Caenorhabditis elegans: one gene and its partners. The protein of the gene in region 1 interacts with the protein of each later gene in a biochemical or structural test. Each region holds a gene or a part of one and is shown in the gene's direction. Other genes may lie near its edges. The genes, in order: mps-2, kvs-1 and mps-3.

Evidence for each region.
Region 2: of the proteins of mps-2 (region 1) and kvs-1, one has a biochemical effect on the other in vitro, tested with the Caenorhabditis elegans proteins (one study listed by BioGRID).
Region 3: of the proteins of mps-2 (region 1) and mps-3, one has a biochemical effect on the other in vitro, tested with the Caenorhabditis elegans proteins (one study listed by BioGRID).

Annotation. Positions count from the first base shown.
Region 1 is NC_003280.10:308,524-315,030, reverse strand, and holds mps-2 (MiRP K channel accessory Subunit), read left to right. Parts: upstream 1-2,873; coding exon 2,874-2,965; intron 2,966-4,132; exon of another isoform or gene 4,133-4,333; coding exon of another isoform or gene 4,334-4,410; exon of another isoform or gene 4,411-4,587; coding exon 4,588-4,706; intron 4,707-4,757; coding exon 4,758-4,869; intron 4,870-5,261; coding exon 5,262-5,343; intron 5,344-5,386; coding exon 5,387-5,476; downstream 5,477-6,507. Other genes in the region: K01A2.4 (uncharacterized protein), read right to left, coding at 5,582-5,683, 5,753-5,831, 5,976-6,090, 6,144-6,262, 6,309-6,507.
Region 2 is NC_003284.9:7,703,626-7,709,761, reverse strand, and holds the start of kvs-1 (BTB domain-containing protein), read left to right. Parts: upstream 1-2,630; 5' UTR 2,631-2,675; coding exon 2,676-2,716; intron 2,717-3,662; exon of another isoform or gene 3,663-3,803; intron 3,804-6,136.
Region 3 is NC_003279.8:758,830-763,755, reverse strand, and holds mps-3 (MiRP K channel accessory Subunit), read left to right. Parts: upstream 1-1,906; 5' UTR 1,907-1,919; coding exon 1,920-1,962; intron 1,963-2,038; coding exon 2,039-2,136; intron 2,137-2,388; coding exon 2,389-2,712; intron 2,713-2,768; coding exon 2,769-2,807; 3' UTR 2,808-2,908; downstream 2,909-4,926. Other genes in the region: T06A4.3 (ShKT domain-containing protein), read right to left, coding at 1-81; Y18H1A.8 (TransThyretin-Related family domain), read right to left, coding at 3,327-3,438, 3,959-4,059, 4,703-4,808, 4,864-4,926.

The DNA of each region.
Region 1 (6,507 bases):
GCATTTTTGCGTGCTCTTTTTCCCCGTTCGAGGCCTGAACTGTCTCTGAGGCACAATGGCCGTTCAACGTATGACGTCCGAGTGAGAAACTTTGCAAGGCTGCGCCAAAGTCCTTGATTAATTTTGGGTCCCGAATGTATTGCAAAACAGAGGCAATGTTCTGCGGGATATGTTCACTGAAAATAACTTTTTTTAAAAATCATCTTAAACGCCTTTTTGTGTTTTTTTTTCAAACACGTATGGATTTCTTTGACTTTTTTGGTATGAAAATTGTTGTTTTGGGGACAGAGCGTCGGCGTGAGTCTCGCACTTAAAATCTTTTTTTTAATTGACTCACTCTTTGTGATCTGTTGGTGTCTGTTTTGGGTCGGTTGCACTGAAAATAGTTACATTAATTATTCGATTTGTTCAACTTTTCGAATTTTCGAATAAACCGTCAAATATGATTTTTAAAAAAGAACTCACTATCAGCATTATTTTGTACTTCATGAGTAGTATGTATTTGTCCGCTCCGGTGCAGCTTTCAACCCACTTTTTGGGTCTCATGTGTCGGAGTACAGCTGATTCCTTCACATTATCTTCACATTTTTCTGACATGGACAATATTTTCATCCAGTTAGATAACATTTTCCAGGCAAGAACATTTCCATATTTCTTGAAAATAATCAGTATTGTTCCAATTCGACTCCGAAAATGATTCAGAATTTCATCGTTGGAACATATTTGGTGACTTTTGTTTAGAATGTTCTCAATATTCTTGATTGTTTTCGAGATTATTTGATAATCCGGAAAACTCGTTTGATCGGTTCGAATGTCCAAGTCGAAGACTTCGAACTCGTATTTTTCAATTTTTTCAGTGCAATTCTGACTTCTTTGTGCAAGTTGATCTACTATCGTGTTTTCCATCTTGACTTTTGAAAAAAAAAATTAAATTGACAAGCTGCAGACTTTTCAATTAATGACAGAAGATGTGTTTTGCAAAGGTGTTTGAAGAAATTTGCTGAATTGTCCGATTTGATGCTGATGAGAATCAGACTTTTTGACGTAGCTCTCTCTTTTCTGATGGTTTGAAAAAAAAACTAACGAAACAAAGATTCCAATTGGTTGTTGGTGTTGTAGCGGTAGATGTAGTGGAATGATGATAAAATTAGCTCTTTGATTCAGTACTTGTTGAGGTTAGAATAGGGTGAGTTCCCATGTCCCTTTCTTTTTCCCTCGGTTAGTTGTCTTCGTTGTCTCTTTTTCCGTCTTGTCCTCGGGGTCATTATTCATTTTGCCAATGGAGGTATCTCTTTTTTTCGTGCACTCTCTCATTGAGAGTAGTACTCCACAATAAACAATCGGAGCGAAAGTGTAGATAACAGCAACGTCTCGGACCAATTGTGTAAACCAGATTGGTTTTTGCAATTTTGCAACTCGATTGTATAAACGTGACGGAACAACTTTTCTTTCATCGATGAGTTTAATCATCTTTACACTGATGAAGACCTTGCGAGATAAGAATAAATTTTTGTGGAGTATCAACTCTCGTTTTTTCCTTATCTCATTTCTTCGGGAATTCCAGAAACAAATCATTTTGTTGTTCCTTTTCGCTGTCTCTGCTATTAAGAAACTGACTATGTCTCAAATAGGGGAAACTTCGAAGCAGCTTTTCCATTTGGCGTTTCAAAAAAAATTTGTGGAATCTTTTCTGAATGGGAAAACACGGAAATAATTCAATGCGCGGCTTACATACTTGACGACTTAAAAAAAAACCTGGAGACAAATGTGTTGTGTCAAGTCTTGCCATTCGTCGGACTAAGATGCAGTGAATCTTTTGAGTCTACGACGGGAATTTTACTGATCAAACTGGAATCAATGAAGATGAATTGTGGAGGTAGAAGAGTGAATTGTATTCCCACTGTTAATTAGAGCATTTTTTCCAATTACTCCCTATATTAATTAACGGGTAAACAAGGAACGAATGTGATGCATATTATCACGTCTGACAATAAGCATGCTATTTGAGATTCACTGGACTAGAAACTCAAAAGTTGTTGTGAGGTTTGAATCAACAATTCTCAAAAAGAGTCTACTCTGACTAGCTCTTTTCTTGAAATGGACCAAATTCAAACTCTCGTTCCATAGTTTTGAAAACAATACACAACTGAATCAGCTTTTGTTTTTTTCTGGAGAGCGTAGATTTTTCATGGGCTTTTGAAAAAAAAAATTATTTTATCGTCCTTTGGATGAGTTTCTTTGAAGAGAGAGAGTGTGTGTGTTTTTTTTGTATTTTTTCTTGGGTTTTTAGAGATTAAAGGAAATAGAGAGAAATTAATTTTACTTGATTTTTAGAAAAATTTAGTGAAATTGAAAAGAAAAAAATGGTAAGACTCAAAAGACTAGAACATCGAACCAAACTCTGTCTGCCTTGATGGAATAGAGCACAGACACCACTAAACTAGTTTAGAATGGAAGGATCTCACCGAAAACTTTTCAGATGAAATAAAAGTTTTTAGGTGGAATTTTTTTCTTTTGACTTTGAAGAGAGAAAATCATATGAAGATGAAATCTCAGTCAAAAGCTCGGTGGTACCTACATGTTACCGTACGCGATCGTGCCAGATCTCGTAGATAAAATAATAGAAAACATATGAATATATCGATATGTTTATTGAGATGAGGGGGAGAAGGACGGGTGTCCGTCTCCCAGCCTCCCGATAGAATGATGTTAATTCTCATGGAATAGAATGTCTCTATTCTCTCGTGCTCTCTCACCCCACCAACTGTCGTTGACAGATGGCAATGATCAAGGGCACTCGATAAATAGAAACCGAGAAGCAGTATAGAACTGACCTCTCACACTACTATGCGGCTGCCCCGCTCCCGACCTTTATGATAACCCCACTTCCTATATTATTCTTTTTATGTATTGCATATATTCTATTATATATATATAAACATCCTATAACCCCAAGGAATTCCAGGTCGGTATATTTAACCTCAACGAGGTACTTTAGGCTAGGAATAAGAACCACTCTCAACCCTAGCGAGAGTTAGATAAAGGTTGATTATAATATTAGGTGCCGAGAGCACGCCTATAACATGAAGGTACCACCGAGCCAGGAAATAATTTTTTGGGGTGCCCCTGTATGTAAGATCGCAGGTTCCAAAATTGTTTCTGCGAACTCAGAGGAGTCAGGAGTTCACCTAACTATTCCCTAGTAAGTGTGCCATAACCGCTACACCAAGGCCACACCAATATCTATTTGGATTCCCCCATTCCTATCACCATCAAACCCCTTCCCATCTATTATTCTATTCTCGTCTGGTTGGAAGAGCATGGAGACAGTTTCCAGTACACATCACGCCTCTGCAAAACGGACAAAGCAGATTCTCTTCAAACGGTCAAGGAATTCCCGACGTTGGACCAACTCCCCCTGATGCGGCTTGAGTTTTTTTTCTTTTGATTATTAGTTGTTCTTTATTGATTCAATCTCTATTCTAGCCTGAGGGCATCATGAGCCAAGTTTGAGCCATTTTATTGTGTTGAGTAAGCAAAGTTCCCCGCACATTTTTTTTTGAGTATTGAGAATACACTAGTTTGAAGAGTTCCCCATTTTCTTTGTATTGTATGTAGATAAGTTACTGTTGAGTAAAATGACCTCTAATTATATTGTTAAGTCCGTTTTCTTAGAATTTCACATTTTGAAATAAGTATTTGTGTCTGCCTGAGGCAATAGAAATTAAAGAGACTCTGTTGTATTGCATTTTAATGAGATGAGAGTAGGATTTTATTTGGTATAGTTTTTTCATATGTTGTTTATCCTTCTTGAAAGGGCTTTAAACTCTTGCACTAAAACACTAGCGCTTTGAGGACAAAGCACTTTTGAGAGGGTAGGATGGCGTGCCGTTACCGTCATCTGTTATTTTTCTTTTTGGGAATCTGAGTTCTGTAAGCCTAACATCAAAAGCTTCGGGACGAAGCTGCTCAAAAAGGGCGGCATGTGAGAGGTCAGTTCTATACTGCTTCTCGGTTTCTATTTATCGAGTGCCCTTGATCATTGCCATCTGTCAACGACAGTTGGTGGGGTGAGAGAGCACGAGAGAATAGAGACATTCTATTCCATGAGAATTAACATCATTCTATCGGGAGGCTGGGAGACGGACACCCGTCCTTCTCCCCCTCATCTCAATAAACATATCGATATATTCATATGTTTTCTATTATTTTATCTACGAGATCTGGCACGATCGCGTACGGTAACAGTAGGGCGACTCCCACCAGACTAACTTGTGTGCGCCTGCACTTAGGGGCGGGCCGCCATGGAAGTAAATGAAGAAGGAAGATAGGCATGCCTGATAGGAGGCTTGCCATCGTATCCTTCCACAGTTTATTTATTTACTCTTCCTTTGATAAAATGTCTGAAACGTAAGTTGAACTCATTGTTTTCCCAAAAAATTCGAAATTTGAGAAAAAAATGCTTGAAAATCCAGATTCTGTGGAAAAATTTCCAGTATTGGATCCTCTGTAAGTGATTTTGTAATTTCAGAAAAAAAAATTTATTAAACATTTTTTGAGAAAACGTTTTTCAGAAGTTTTTTTCAGAAAAAAGAATGTACTCCTGTCCCTGCACTCTCTTTCATCTTTAATCCACGTGGCAATGTTCTATTTCCTATTGGTCCAATGGAGTAAAGCCGATAATCCAGTTCTCACACATTTTCAGAGTAGGAATCCAAAAATTGAAGTTGTTAAGGTTTTTGAAAATTAATTTTCAGTTTTCTGCCTGGTGATTATTGGAATCGGATTTTTGATTATCTTGATCTTAATATTCAGTATTTTTAAATCCGAAATGAAAAGTGACTCACATGCAAGACGATTCTTTCATATGTAAGTTTATGTCTTAAAAATTGAGATTTTAAATTTAATGCTGCTCAAACCAGCTCAAATTCTAATTTTTCCAAAACATTCTTGCGGGGGTACGAAATTTTAATACCAATTTTGATATTGTCGGTACAGACTTTTTAAAATTAAGACAATTGTTTTGGCTGAAATTTTGGTTTTTAAATTTTAAAAGTGGAGTAACGCCGGGGGGGCAGTGTTAAAACTACTTCAATGGTGCCAAAATGACCGAATTTCAAAAAAAAACCTTTCCAAAAAAACGTTTTGAAAATTTTTGAAGTGTTTTATTATGATATTCGGTTATTTTGGCTCATCATAAGTGTATTTAGACAAAATCCTCACTGGTGCTACCCCAAATAAAACTTTTCACCATTTTCCAGTTGGCCACTGGTACATATCGCCTTATCCACCGCCTATCAGCTCTTCACGCAAATTGTGATATCTCATTGGAAAACTTACCAGGTTTGTCAACCTATATAATTAAATTCGTCAGAAAATTTTTCAGATCCCAATCCTCTACTCATCCTATGCAACTACCGTCTCTGTTTGCATTCATTTAGTTCTGCACTCCATGGCGGTTTTTTGGAAAGTATAATTTTTCATAAAATTTATTCAAATGTTATGTTGTTATGCCATTGGCAATATTCGACTTCAATACTAAAAAATCTTTGAAAATTATTATTTTTCTCATCAGTTGAAATTATTTTTTCAATGGTGACTTCCAAAAAAGCGCAAAAGTATGAAGAATCATATGAGTTGCAACTGATATAGAGGCCGCAATTGAGGACGCCAGATTTGGTACCTGAAACGTAGAATTGAAATTGGGAATTGAGTATTGAATCTGCTAAATTCTGAGAAAGAACTTTCATACTTTTATTGACAATTGAGATGCCAAAAGTTGAACAACAAATTGATAGATTGTTGCACACGCGATGTTGAACAGGGGGAGTCTGAAAATACCTTTAAAGCTTGATTGAGATTGATTTTAGCCGTAAGCTTTTTCTCTGGTTTAGGTTCAGGCCTAGGCTTACGCTTTGGCTTAGGCTTAGGCTTATGCCTAGGGGTACATTCTAGCTTGGCCTTTTTTCACTTACGAAATGAAAAACTCCGTCTCTGCCTTTTCGTTTTTATATTTTCCGTGCAACATCCAGACGAAGCCGCCGAACGCGAGAAGTAATAAACACAAGACGAAAACCATCAGAATAATCGCTGAAATTAGGTTTGATTTTCTAAATTTCGAGTCAAAATGTTCTGAAACTCACCTCCAACTACAGTAATTTTTGGATCGATTGCATTGTACCATTCAAGAAACAAGGTATAGGTCATAATGACATGAATTAAAAACGAGATACCGTGTCCAATGAGGAGTTTCTTTTTTTTGCTGCAATATTTTTCAAAATCCAATAAAAATTATAACTTTGACCCACTCTTTCACATCGGGAGGAAGGTTATACTGCATTTTTGCGTGCTCTTTTTCCCCGTTCGAGGCCTGAACTGTCTCTGAGGCAGAATGGCCGTTCGACGTATGACGTCCGAGTGAGAAACTTTGCAAGGCTGCGCTAAAGTCCTTGATTAACTTTGGGTCCCGAATGTGTTGCAAAACAGAGGCAATGTTCTGCGGGATAT
Region 2 (6,136 bases), on another chromosome or scaffold:
ATTCATAAAAACTTGTTAGGATTCCTAACTTGAAATTTTGTATGGTTTGGTATGATGTTATTTTTGAAAATTGTTTTTATTTTTATCCTTAACAATCAAGTCTACTATTTAACTAAAAATTGTAAGTCGATGTGAAATTTTCATTGGGAAGGTTAAAAAAACCACTCCTATGGTGCCAAAATAAATATCATTGTAAAACTTTTCAGACAAGTTTTTGAAAATTTTTATTGATAGTCAAAAAATGGCAATTACTCACTTTTTGCCACCTTTTTCAAAGCCTTCTATCAAAAAAAGGTTTCTTTCAAATTGTATGTCTTATGTTTTAAATAATAATACTAAAACAATAAAGAAATTCGGATATGCGACAGTGCTATAGTTTTCTCAAAATGTGACGAAAACTCATGTCACTTTTGACTGTCAATAAAAATTGAAAAGCCTTTTTTTTAACAAAAATTGTTTAAAATTCTTTGAAACATTTTACTGATATTTGTTTATATTAGCACCATAGGAGTAGTTTTTTAGCTATTTCCCCACTGCCGTATAAACGTTAATAAAATCTCGTTAGAAAATAATAATTTCCGTTTTCAGTCAAGGTGCAATAAAGAAAAAAGGTATATCTTCCTGAACTTCCGCGTAGCTCAAAACTTGTGAATATTGTAAAAATCTACACAAGTACCGAAATATCAAAACATTGTACTTTTGACATATTAGAACGCATATGAACGGTTTTAATTGTTTTTTGTTGTAAGAACCACCCTTCTGACTATCTTTCCTTTTGATCAAAGCAATTGAAATAAAGGAATAATAATAAGCTACCTTAACATATAATCTACGAACTGTAGAAAATTCCAGAACTTTAGAGAACTGTTTAGAAACTGAACTTTAACGAAATGTAAGTTTTCTAATAACCATGAAAAACCTGTTTTCTTAACAGAAAAAAGTAACACAATCGGAAACTTCATGTATTTTCTTCAACTAGGTTTTTTTCGTTTCTTCTCTTCTGAATTTATCTTTGATGTTTCTTCTCTTCTGAATTTAACTTTTTTGAAATTAGTATAAGTAAATGTGATAAGTTGTCCAACCCCTTCTCTGAGAACTGTCCAATATTTATACGTTATTTCACAAAATAGGTATAAAATATTGAATATGAAATCAAAAAAACTACCTAAAATGTGAAACAAACTGCTCAAAAAAGAAGAATCGAGAATGTGTTTCAATACTAATAGTGAAAATAAAATGAAACATAAAAAATTAATTTGATGTGTGTTTACCACCGATCCATTTTGTTTCTAATGAAGATGTGTTTCGTTTCTGTAAAATTAAATTTACCGTTTTCAAAAACCGAATTTTTAGTTTTTTCTAGTCTTAATGTTTTATTATCGTTGCTTCGTTAATGTTTTCTGCACCTATTCAAACTTGATGCTGCATAATTCACAACAACCACGTTGAAAAAGTCGTTACATGTATTTTTGAAAATACTTACTTCTTAGACAGCCAATTCAGTTTTTTCCAGTTCTTCCACTGAGCTATTTTTTTCAAAAAACATATGTCTGCCCGCATACTTGGATACTTTCCTGTATGCAATTTTTCTGAGGTCTCAGAAATCGGACACTCATCCGCTTTTCTTTTCAGCGGCTAATCTGTTGATAACACGATGAACGTTTATATTTGTGAAACGATTTCGAAAAATTGTGCAAGATTATCTATGACGGCCTTCACTGGAATTTGGATATCCGTTCATATGTTTTGAGTCATTTTCAAACTAAATTTTTTAATTTTTAATTTAATTTCGAATTCACTCGAAAAATTTTGAAATGTTTTCGTCTTTTTTTAATATATTCCCAAAACAACAGCCACATTAAAAAAATTATAATTTCTTTGTTATACTGTTCATTTTTTAAGTGTTGAAAAATGCTATTAAAACTCCCCCTTCCCGCCATAATTTTCTATTTCAAAAATCATTTGCTCTGGGAACTTTTTGATATATTTATGACTTTGACTGGTTCATATGAGTTGGTTCACTGCAGTTTTTTGCTAAACATAATTTTTAGTTACGATAGTTTGGAGTTTTTTTCCCGGGTAGCAGCTGTTCCATTTAATTCATTCCAAGTTTGCAGATGGAAATGTTTTTTCTTGTGTTCAAATTTCATTCAATTCGAAAGTGCTGTCAGGAATTCCCACATGACGGGAGCCTGGTGAACACAGCCAAGTTCAACGGTTTTACGATCAAATCTGCGATATCTTACAGCAGAATTTGATTCATTTCATCGTCTATCCTCCAATCTTCGGACTTCAAAAAGTAATTTATTGTGATGAGTCCCACACGTTCTGAGGTTTCCGCAAGTGTTGAAAGACGCCAAAGTGAAATGAAAACAGCTAAAATAAGCGATGACCTCTGAGATTTTTGAAACTTTCGTTTTGCCTGCTGGACTTTTAAGCCCCGCCCACATTTTTTGTTCTCCTCCCACATTTGTTCCATACCGCTTCTTCAAGTGCCTTGTTCTTTAGAAAAAGTGGCTTGTTCGTTTTCAAGATTTTACAGGAAAACAGGAAGAGTTGATTGAAGTTCAAGTATCATCAATTTTTCAAACTCAATCAAAATTCTTGTTTTTCACATCTTGTTTTCCTTTTTTCAGATCATTCGTCGTCTCACCTTTTTGTGGAATCTGTGCAACATGAGCACGGAAAGGCTGATGTATCTCGATTTAAATAAAGGGTAAGTGTTGAGTTTTTGTTTTTGTTTATTTAATGGAGATTTGATGTCGTTTTGACTGGTTTGATTGATATAAAAAATTTTCTCAGGTCTGAAATTTAGAATTTTTTTTTCAAGTTTTTCAATGTTTCAAAATTGTTCTAAAGAATGAACGCAGAGTACGGCCACAGGGGAAATGACTCAAATTTTTCATGTGGTTCTTAAATTACTAAATATCATAATAAAACATAATAAAAATTTTTTGAATTTTTATTTCGATTTGAAAATAGTGAAAACTTTATGCCACTTTTAAAGATATCTTAAGCACTATGGCATTAACCCTTTTCTATGTTAGAATGGGAAATTCTTAAAAACTAAATGACCAAAAGTTGCAACTAAACAGTCGAATAATGTTCAGAATTCACTCAAATTTTTGTGAGCTTGGGTGAATTGCCAAATTTACAAAAATGTGGATTACTTAAGTTATTTCCAGCGCTGTCCCTAAAAGTGTTTGAATACGGTTAATTTAAAAAAAAGTCCAATGAAAAAATTAGCCTACTATGTACGTCTCTAAAATCTCATAATAATAACCAAAACTCTCTGAATCTGAAGCAGTTAAAAAACTTAATTTTTCCTGAAGCTTATATTCACAAAACTAAAACTATAGTTTCTGAGAATATAACTACATTTATTCCGTTTTACTCAACTAATGAGCCAGCTTCCGAACTCATTCCCTACAGGTTTTACGTCACTTTCAATCTACACAATTACTTGCTTTGTGAGCATTTACCAAAAACAAAACTTAAAATCAGAGACTAAAGATACGAACCATACCTAATTCATTCTTGTCAACAAAAACTATCACAACCACAAACTTTAAAAATTTCAACTACGAAGCCTCTACTTCTCTCATCGTTTTATCCACATTCACCATACCCCTTACTCCGGTTGCGGTCGGACACAGGAAAAAGTTGAACAAAAAGAGAACATAGCCGCAGATGGGGGTTCAATTCATCAATTAGATCTCTGCCACTTTTTCTTTCGTTTCCGAATCTGTCTCACATTCTGAAATAACTAAAGACGCTGAAAATGATGAGGCGATGTAAAAGCTTGCGGTACGTTTTTTTTGTGTGTTTCTCTGTGAAATGGTTTTTTGGTTTTTGAAAAACTATCGTTAAAAAAAAAAGAAAAAAAAAGGAAAAAACCAGCTTTGGTATTCGAAAAAAAAACGAAGATTCTGTGATGTGAAAAGGAGTTCACCATGAATTCCTGATCAAGACTTTTTAGTCCATGTTCCTCTCGCCTCTAAAGCTATTTCCTTTTTTCTTATCTTTTTGTTCAGCTTGCAAAAAGTCGAAGATCCGAACCAAATCGTTTTCGAATTTTTAATTTAGAACTATGAAATTTATTTTTGGAATGAGGAAGGAATTTGAGCAATGCTTTTATTTAAAGGTTTTCTGGTCTTTTGTATAAGTCTCCCCCAACGACTTTCGGATGCACATATTGGTTTCCTGTAGAGTTGGAATATGTCAATTAGCTGCACTTTTCTTTTTTAGAAAACAAATGAAATGAGGATCAATATTGGATTTTTTATTAAAATTTGAGTGGAAATCGAAAAAAATGGTTGAGAAAAAAATTGGTTCATTGGGAAAGACTCTTGGAAGAAGCAAAGACAGTAGTTTTTTAAAAATTTGTTTGGGTAAATCAGAGAGAAAAAGTAATTTTCAACTTTATTTATTAATTTTCCCAGATTTCAACAGAATAAAAAGAGTATCGGCAGTGAGAAAATGTTTTAAAACTGTCAAAAACTGTAGTAAACATTTTCAAAAAATTTTGAAGTTATATATGTACACGCAAAAATGGTGAAAATCTAATTTTCAACCATCATAATTTTCAAAGTCGACCAAAAAAAAATTTTTTTTGCATGTTTTATAGTTTTAATGCATTTTAATTGGCTATATTTGAACATTGTAGATGTTAGAACTTACGACAATGAATAAGAATTCTCAAGGTGCCACATTTTCTGAAAATTTGCTAATTGTAAAAATTTTGACAGGAAATTTGGAAAAGTTTTAAAAAATTTTGGAATTGTTTATTAATAATACTTGGCTTGGCTTGGTATTTTAAAAAATTGAAACATCATACTAAACACATCATCTAAAGTTAAAAAACTAGTCGATTGATCTCTAGGCAACTTTTTGCGATAATAGTTGTTTCCACGTGGTAATATGATATTTTGATACTTCGCAAGAAACAACGACATGGTGTTTCGGCCTACGTCAGAGTTAGGCTGCTCACTTCTTTTGAATGATGTTCAAGAATATTATCAGAAGAGTATCACTATTTTTCAATAATGTTGGTGGACCAGAAGTGAGTTTTATGTTAAAATGTGCAAAAACGTGATCAAAATATTTCATAAAAAATTTAATGTAGTTTGATCAAAACTTTTGCTCGCATTTTTGATTTTCAATTTAATTTTCTAGTTGCCCATATAAGAGTCTATATCTGGAGCAGATTGGAAAATTTTTTTACGTTTTGATAAATATGTCAAGCATAGCCTGTTAAATCACTTTTTATCGCACTATTTCATTTTCGAATATAGCTGATCTGAGTTTAGAGATCCTTAACTTTTGAATGTGCCACAAATCTTGACAGTTTGACTACGTCAGCCTGACCATGTGTCAATGATCATTCGAATTTTAATTTACTTTTGTCGATCAACCTTGTTCGATGACCCTCTTGACAGAAATGAAAAAGCGAAAGAAATTTATTCTGAATAAGCTTTTTTACAGCTTTCAAGTCTTTGCGAGAATTTTTACACACAGAATTTGAGAATTTGTGTTTTATTTGATAATAGTAAGGTAACCTCTAAAAATGAGAATAACTAAATCACAGCACCAAGCGGGAAGCAAGATAAATTAACTGAGAATTTTCTTGTGCACTGAAAATCCGAGTTAAACGTTCTAACAAATCAAAGGTCATTCAAGTGTTTATTGCATAAATATGCATTACTTTTACAGGACAATTGCTCAAAAAATGTTTCTTAAATGTTTTCATAAATCCGTGAGCGCTTCCTTTTTTCTTGTTTTTGTGTGTTTTTCCTCATGTTCGGAACACACAATTTTTCCCATAAACGAAATGGTGTCAGAGATTCTGAGGGTTCTTCAGTATTGCCGAATTGCTTTCTTCGTCTTCCATTTCTGTCCACATTTTTGTTGCATCCTTTGACTTCAAATTTCAATTTTTCTAGTAAAACATCAGCCATGTTTCTACGATTGCTAGATTTCTTTTTCTATTTCTATTTTTACTCGAAAATCAGAAGTATTTGATTTGACAGCACCGCCAACACCCGCCAAGTGTAATAGAATTTGTGCACCTTTTTGGTGGCCGCGCACCTTTGATTTCTTGCGCTTTCTCGAAAAAAGCAAGTACCTACTACCTAAC
Region 3 (4,926 bases), on another chromosome or scaffold:
TCGATAAACGGCGAAAGACTGTGTGGATAGAGAGACGGCAGAGAAGCAGAGAAAAATGAGCAAGGAAGTGTTATAAGACATGATGATTACACGTCTCCAAACACACACCGTCACCTTCTACTCCTTCTTCCAAATAGCTGAAGACGATGAAGAATCCTGTTCCGTCTCGATGTCTGGGCGTCCTCTACACCTGTATGCACTCTCTCTCTTCACACACACGAAAAAGGGAAAAGCGCCCTGTAAAAAAAGGGAGAAGGAAGACAGAGAAAGGGACGAAAAAAGTGAGAATGATTGAAATCTATCCTATCTCTCCCCCTTATACCGTCTAATCACTCTGTAGAAGCTTTTGGGCAGACGGGACGAGACGCATACTCAAAAAAACAGGTAGTTTGTGTATCGGCGCAGTGATATGATTGAATAGCTTATTATTAGATTATCGAGATTGTCATAACAAGGAAAGGGCGCTATTGCCTAGCAACACGCCTGCATTCAGTCTTCCTACCTGCCTGCCTACCTGAATCATACCTACATCTGCCTATGTGCCTGCATGCCTGCCTACCTACCTCCCTGCATACCTACTCACGTGCCTTCATCATGCCTGCAACATGCCTACATCTGCCTACGTGCCTGCATCCTGGCTTGCTCTTTCTACGTATCTGCCTGCACATTTACATGCTTGCCTACCCGCCTACCTGTCTTTTTTATGCTTACCAACCTCCGATCCTGCCTGGCTGCCTACCTACCTGCCTACCCACGTGCCTTCATCATGCCTGTAACATACCTACATCTGCCTACGTGCCTGCATCCTGGCTTGCTCTTCCTACGTATCTGCCTGCAGATTTACATGCCTGCTTATGTGTCTTTATTATGCCTGCCAGCTTACGAGCCTGCCTACCTGCCTATCTGCCTACCCACGTTACGTCATCATGCCTACAACATACCTAAATCTGCCTACGTGCCTGAATTATGGCTTGTTCTCCCTACGTATATGCCTGCATATTTACATGTCTACCTACCTGCCTGCCTACCTACCTGCCTGCTTACCTACTCACGTGCCTTCATAATACCCGCAACATACCTACTCTGCGTACACATCTACCAATCTGCCTACCCACGTGACTTCAGCATGCCTGCAACATACCTACATCTGCCTACGTGCCTGCATCCTGGCTAACTCTTCCTACGCGTCTGCCTGCCTGCCTACCTGTCTACCTCCCTACCAGCCTAACTAGTTACCTACCTACCCACGTGCCTTCATCATGACTGCAACATACCTACATCTGCTTACATACCCACATGCCTGCCTACCCCCGTGACTTCTCATGCCTGCAACATCCGCCTACGTGCCTGCATCTTTATTATGCCTGGCAGCCTACTATCCTGCCTACCTACCTGCCTACCTGCCTAACTGCCTACTTGCCTACCTGCCTACCTGCCTACGTTGTCGAACTTTTACATATTTCTAGTCCCCGTAATTTTCTTCTACCTCTCACTATTTTTTCCTGAAAGCGAACATTTTTGTATTCTTTTCAGAAAAAAGTAGTACACAGACGTACATGGCGTACTACAAAATGCAACAATTTGTGATCACAAATTACAAAAAAAAAACATTGGGAGTAGGAACGGAGAAATAAAAGAAGATAGGAGATGATTAATTACTCTTGATTTGATTGTTGGTTACCTGGTTTAACAGGTAAATTATGACGTAACGTGTGTGGCCTAGAAATTCTGCAGTTTTCTAGGCCACGAGGTATGGTGTCAATTTTGCTCCAATTTAATGGAAAAATCACAAATTTTTGGTATTTTCCGTGACCCTCACCCCTTCCCCCTACTCAAAAATATTATAAAAATTAAAAAAAAATCCCACGTCTCTAATCAATTTTCCCAAATTTCTCCATTTTCTCATTCATTTCCTGATAATGTCCACCTCCACTCAGCGACCACCGGCGCCAACTTCTGGCTGTTAGTTTGAAACGCGCTCTACCGCACTGGTAGTGCGGTAGAGCGCGTTTGCATATTTGTACCTCCATTTTTGCAGCATCATCGACGCCATGGACCAAAGTAGTGATATTCATAATTATTGGCATTCTCATTGTAGCCTTCATCGTGTTCGCCGCCGCTTCCATTGTGAAATATGTGAGTTAAAGGCCTAGAAAAATTTGAAATTCTGTTGGTGGCCTAGAAAATGTGTTATTTGCTTTTGTTGGTGGCCTAGCAAAAATCGCGGTCATAGAAAACTGTTGGTGGCCTAGAAAAGTTTTAGGTGGCCTAGGAAAATTTCTATATGGCCTAGAACTGTCTGTGATGGCCTAGAAAATTCCGACATGGCTAAATATATGTCTGGTGGCCTAGAAAATCGCTTGATTGCCTAGAAACTCTAATTTTCAGATAAAAAGCAAGAAGCAACAAAAGCAGCCAAAGAAGAAAACAAAAAAGAGCACAAAATCGCGGAGCAAGAGTTTGAAGAGCAAACAGTCTGCAGTAACCCCAAAAAAAAGAGCATCTCCAATTCCACCTCAGCCAGCTCCGCCATCATCTCCCAAACCAACTGAAGAATCTGCGACACCATCCTCCTCATTTGCTCCGTCAACTGAGCCAACACCGACAGTTCCAGACAAGGTTGATGATGGCTCCGAGGACACGGAGCACAAAGAGCAAGAGCAACAGACTGTTCTGTGCACTTATGGCAATGGATGGAAGTCTAAGAATCAGGTTTTTAAAAAATGCAGATTTGTTTTTTTTTTCAACAACTTTAGAACATTTTTCAGCCTCCCCACGACTTCTCCTTCTCAATCGAATCTGAATAATGCCAACAATGTAAAAGCTCCCCGTGTCACCTGAAAAGTCTCCAAAATCAACCTCATTTCTTTCGTTTCTACTGGTTTTTATTGCAATAAACTTGGGTTGGAATTGCTTTCTCGGGGGGCGGCGCGCGACTTGGTGGCTTATATTTTCGCTAGTTTTCAAGATATTAAAAAAATTTTAACCACAAAATTGTAGAAAAAGCATTGGAGAACAGTTTTTCAGTTGGCCATTTTTTGATAGAGCAAAATGTAACCGAGATATAAGCTCTCGAAGCTAAGAGGTAAATATTGGTCGATGCACCATGTACCGAGGCAGGCGTAGGTTGCCTTGAATGTAGGCTTTGTCACATGCCTATCTTAAACCTGTTGGGCAAAAAGTGGAAGTTAAAAACACTTTTTGCTCATTTTCAGAAAATCTTAATCATGTTTTAATTATATTTTTGTTAATTAGGAAAAATAATATATGTAGGCTACCTTGTAGGCAGGTAGGCAGGTAGGCTCGAATATTGATGAACAATTTTATCAAACATTGAAAATAAATATCTTGGACATCACCATCGCCTTTGTTCCGATTACTTCGTTTGTCCATTCACCGGCATTGTTCAGATCAATGTTGCGTGTTTCATCGTACTGCCTGAAAATATTCATTTTTTTGAAAACAGAAATGCCTGCCCTAGAGCTTGCATATAGGCGCCAAAACGCCTGACAACTGCCTCGGGCCGCGCCTTCTGTACAGTGCGGCGTGGAAACCGTAAAGTGTCGGCTGCGGCAAAAAAAACCGCTTATAGTACTATTTGGTGTGAGTAGGGCTGACATATTGGGCGTCCGGTCGTCCGGTTTTTTGAAATGTTAAAATTTTCCGAGAGGTAGTTTTTTTTACGGCGGCCGACAACTTCCGAGTTTGGCCACTCACTATACTTAATCATATAATTTTATCATGAGTGGCCAAACTCGGAAATTGTCGGCCGCCGTACAAAAAAAACTACCTCTCGGAAAAATTTAAAATTTCAAAAAACCGGACGTCCAATATGCCAGCCCTATGTGTGAGCATCGAGGCTTTGACTTTTTGCCAAAGTGCAGGAATCAGGCGAGAAGCCGGCAAACCGCTCCTGCTTCCCATGGAAGCCCTAGCCTGCCCTGTAGAAAGTACCTACCCATCCTTGATATAATAAGATCCCAAGTCAACTGTCAACAACTTGTATTTCCCATTATCCGTGCAATCGTGGACGATGATCATGTATAACTCGAAATAGGACTGCAAAGCTATATATTTAAATTTTTAAATTTTTACAAGTTAGAGTTTTTATTTAAGAGGTTATTCGATTTTCCAAAATGGTCAGTCAAGGTTTTGGTAAACTGCCAAACTCCTAGAATGTTCACTTTTTGGCGGGAATTTCAAATTTTCTGAGAAAAAATTTTGGTGGGAAATTCAGATTTTATGAGAAAACAATTTTTTGGCGGGAAATTCAAATTTTCTGAGAAAAATTTTTTAGCGGGAATTTCAAATTTTCTGAGAAAAAATTTTGGTGGGAAATTCAGATTTTATGAGAAAACAATTTTTTGGCGGCAAATTCAAATTCTCTGAGAAAAAGTTTTGGCGGGGATTTTTAATTTTCTGAGAAAAATTTTTTAGCGGGAATTTCAAATTTTCTGAGAAACATTTTTTAGCGGGAATTTCAAAATTCTGAGAAAAAGTTTTTGGCGGGAATTTCAAGTTTTCTGAGAAAAAATTTTGGTGGGAAATTCAAATTTTCTGAGAAAAAATTTTGGTGGGAAATTCAAATCTTCTGATAAAAAATTTTGGTGGGAAATTCAAATTTTCTGATAAAAAATTTTGGCGGGAAATTCAAATTTTCTGAGAAATACTAGAGAAAAAGCGGGAAATTAAAAAGTAATACATCCAAAAACTTTGGCAATCCGTCATTGGTATCTTCAGCCTCAACGAGATACATATGTGGTGCATTTGTATGGAACACGTAATGGTGTTTACTGATAACGTTGTCGCTGAAACAATTTATAATATTAAATACAACATTTCTCATTTTTCATTTCTACTCACAACACCTCATCGTCTTCATAAACTACAACATGGGATCTCAGGAATTTATGTTTGCACTTAAAC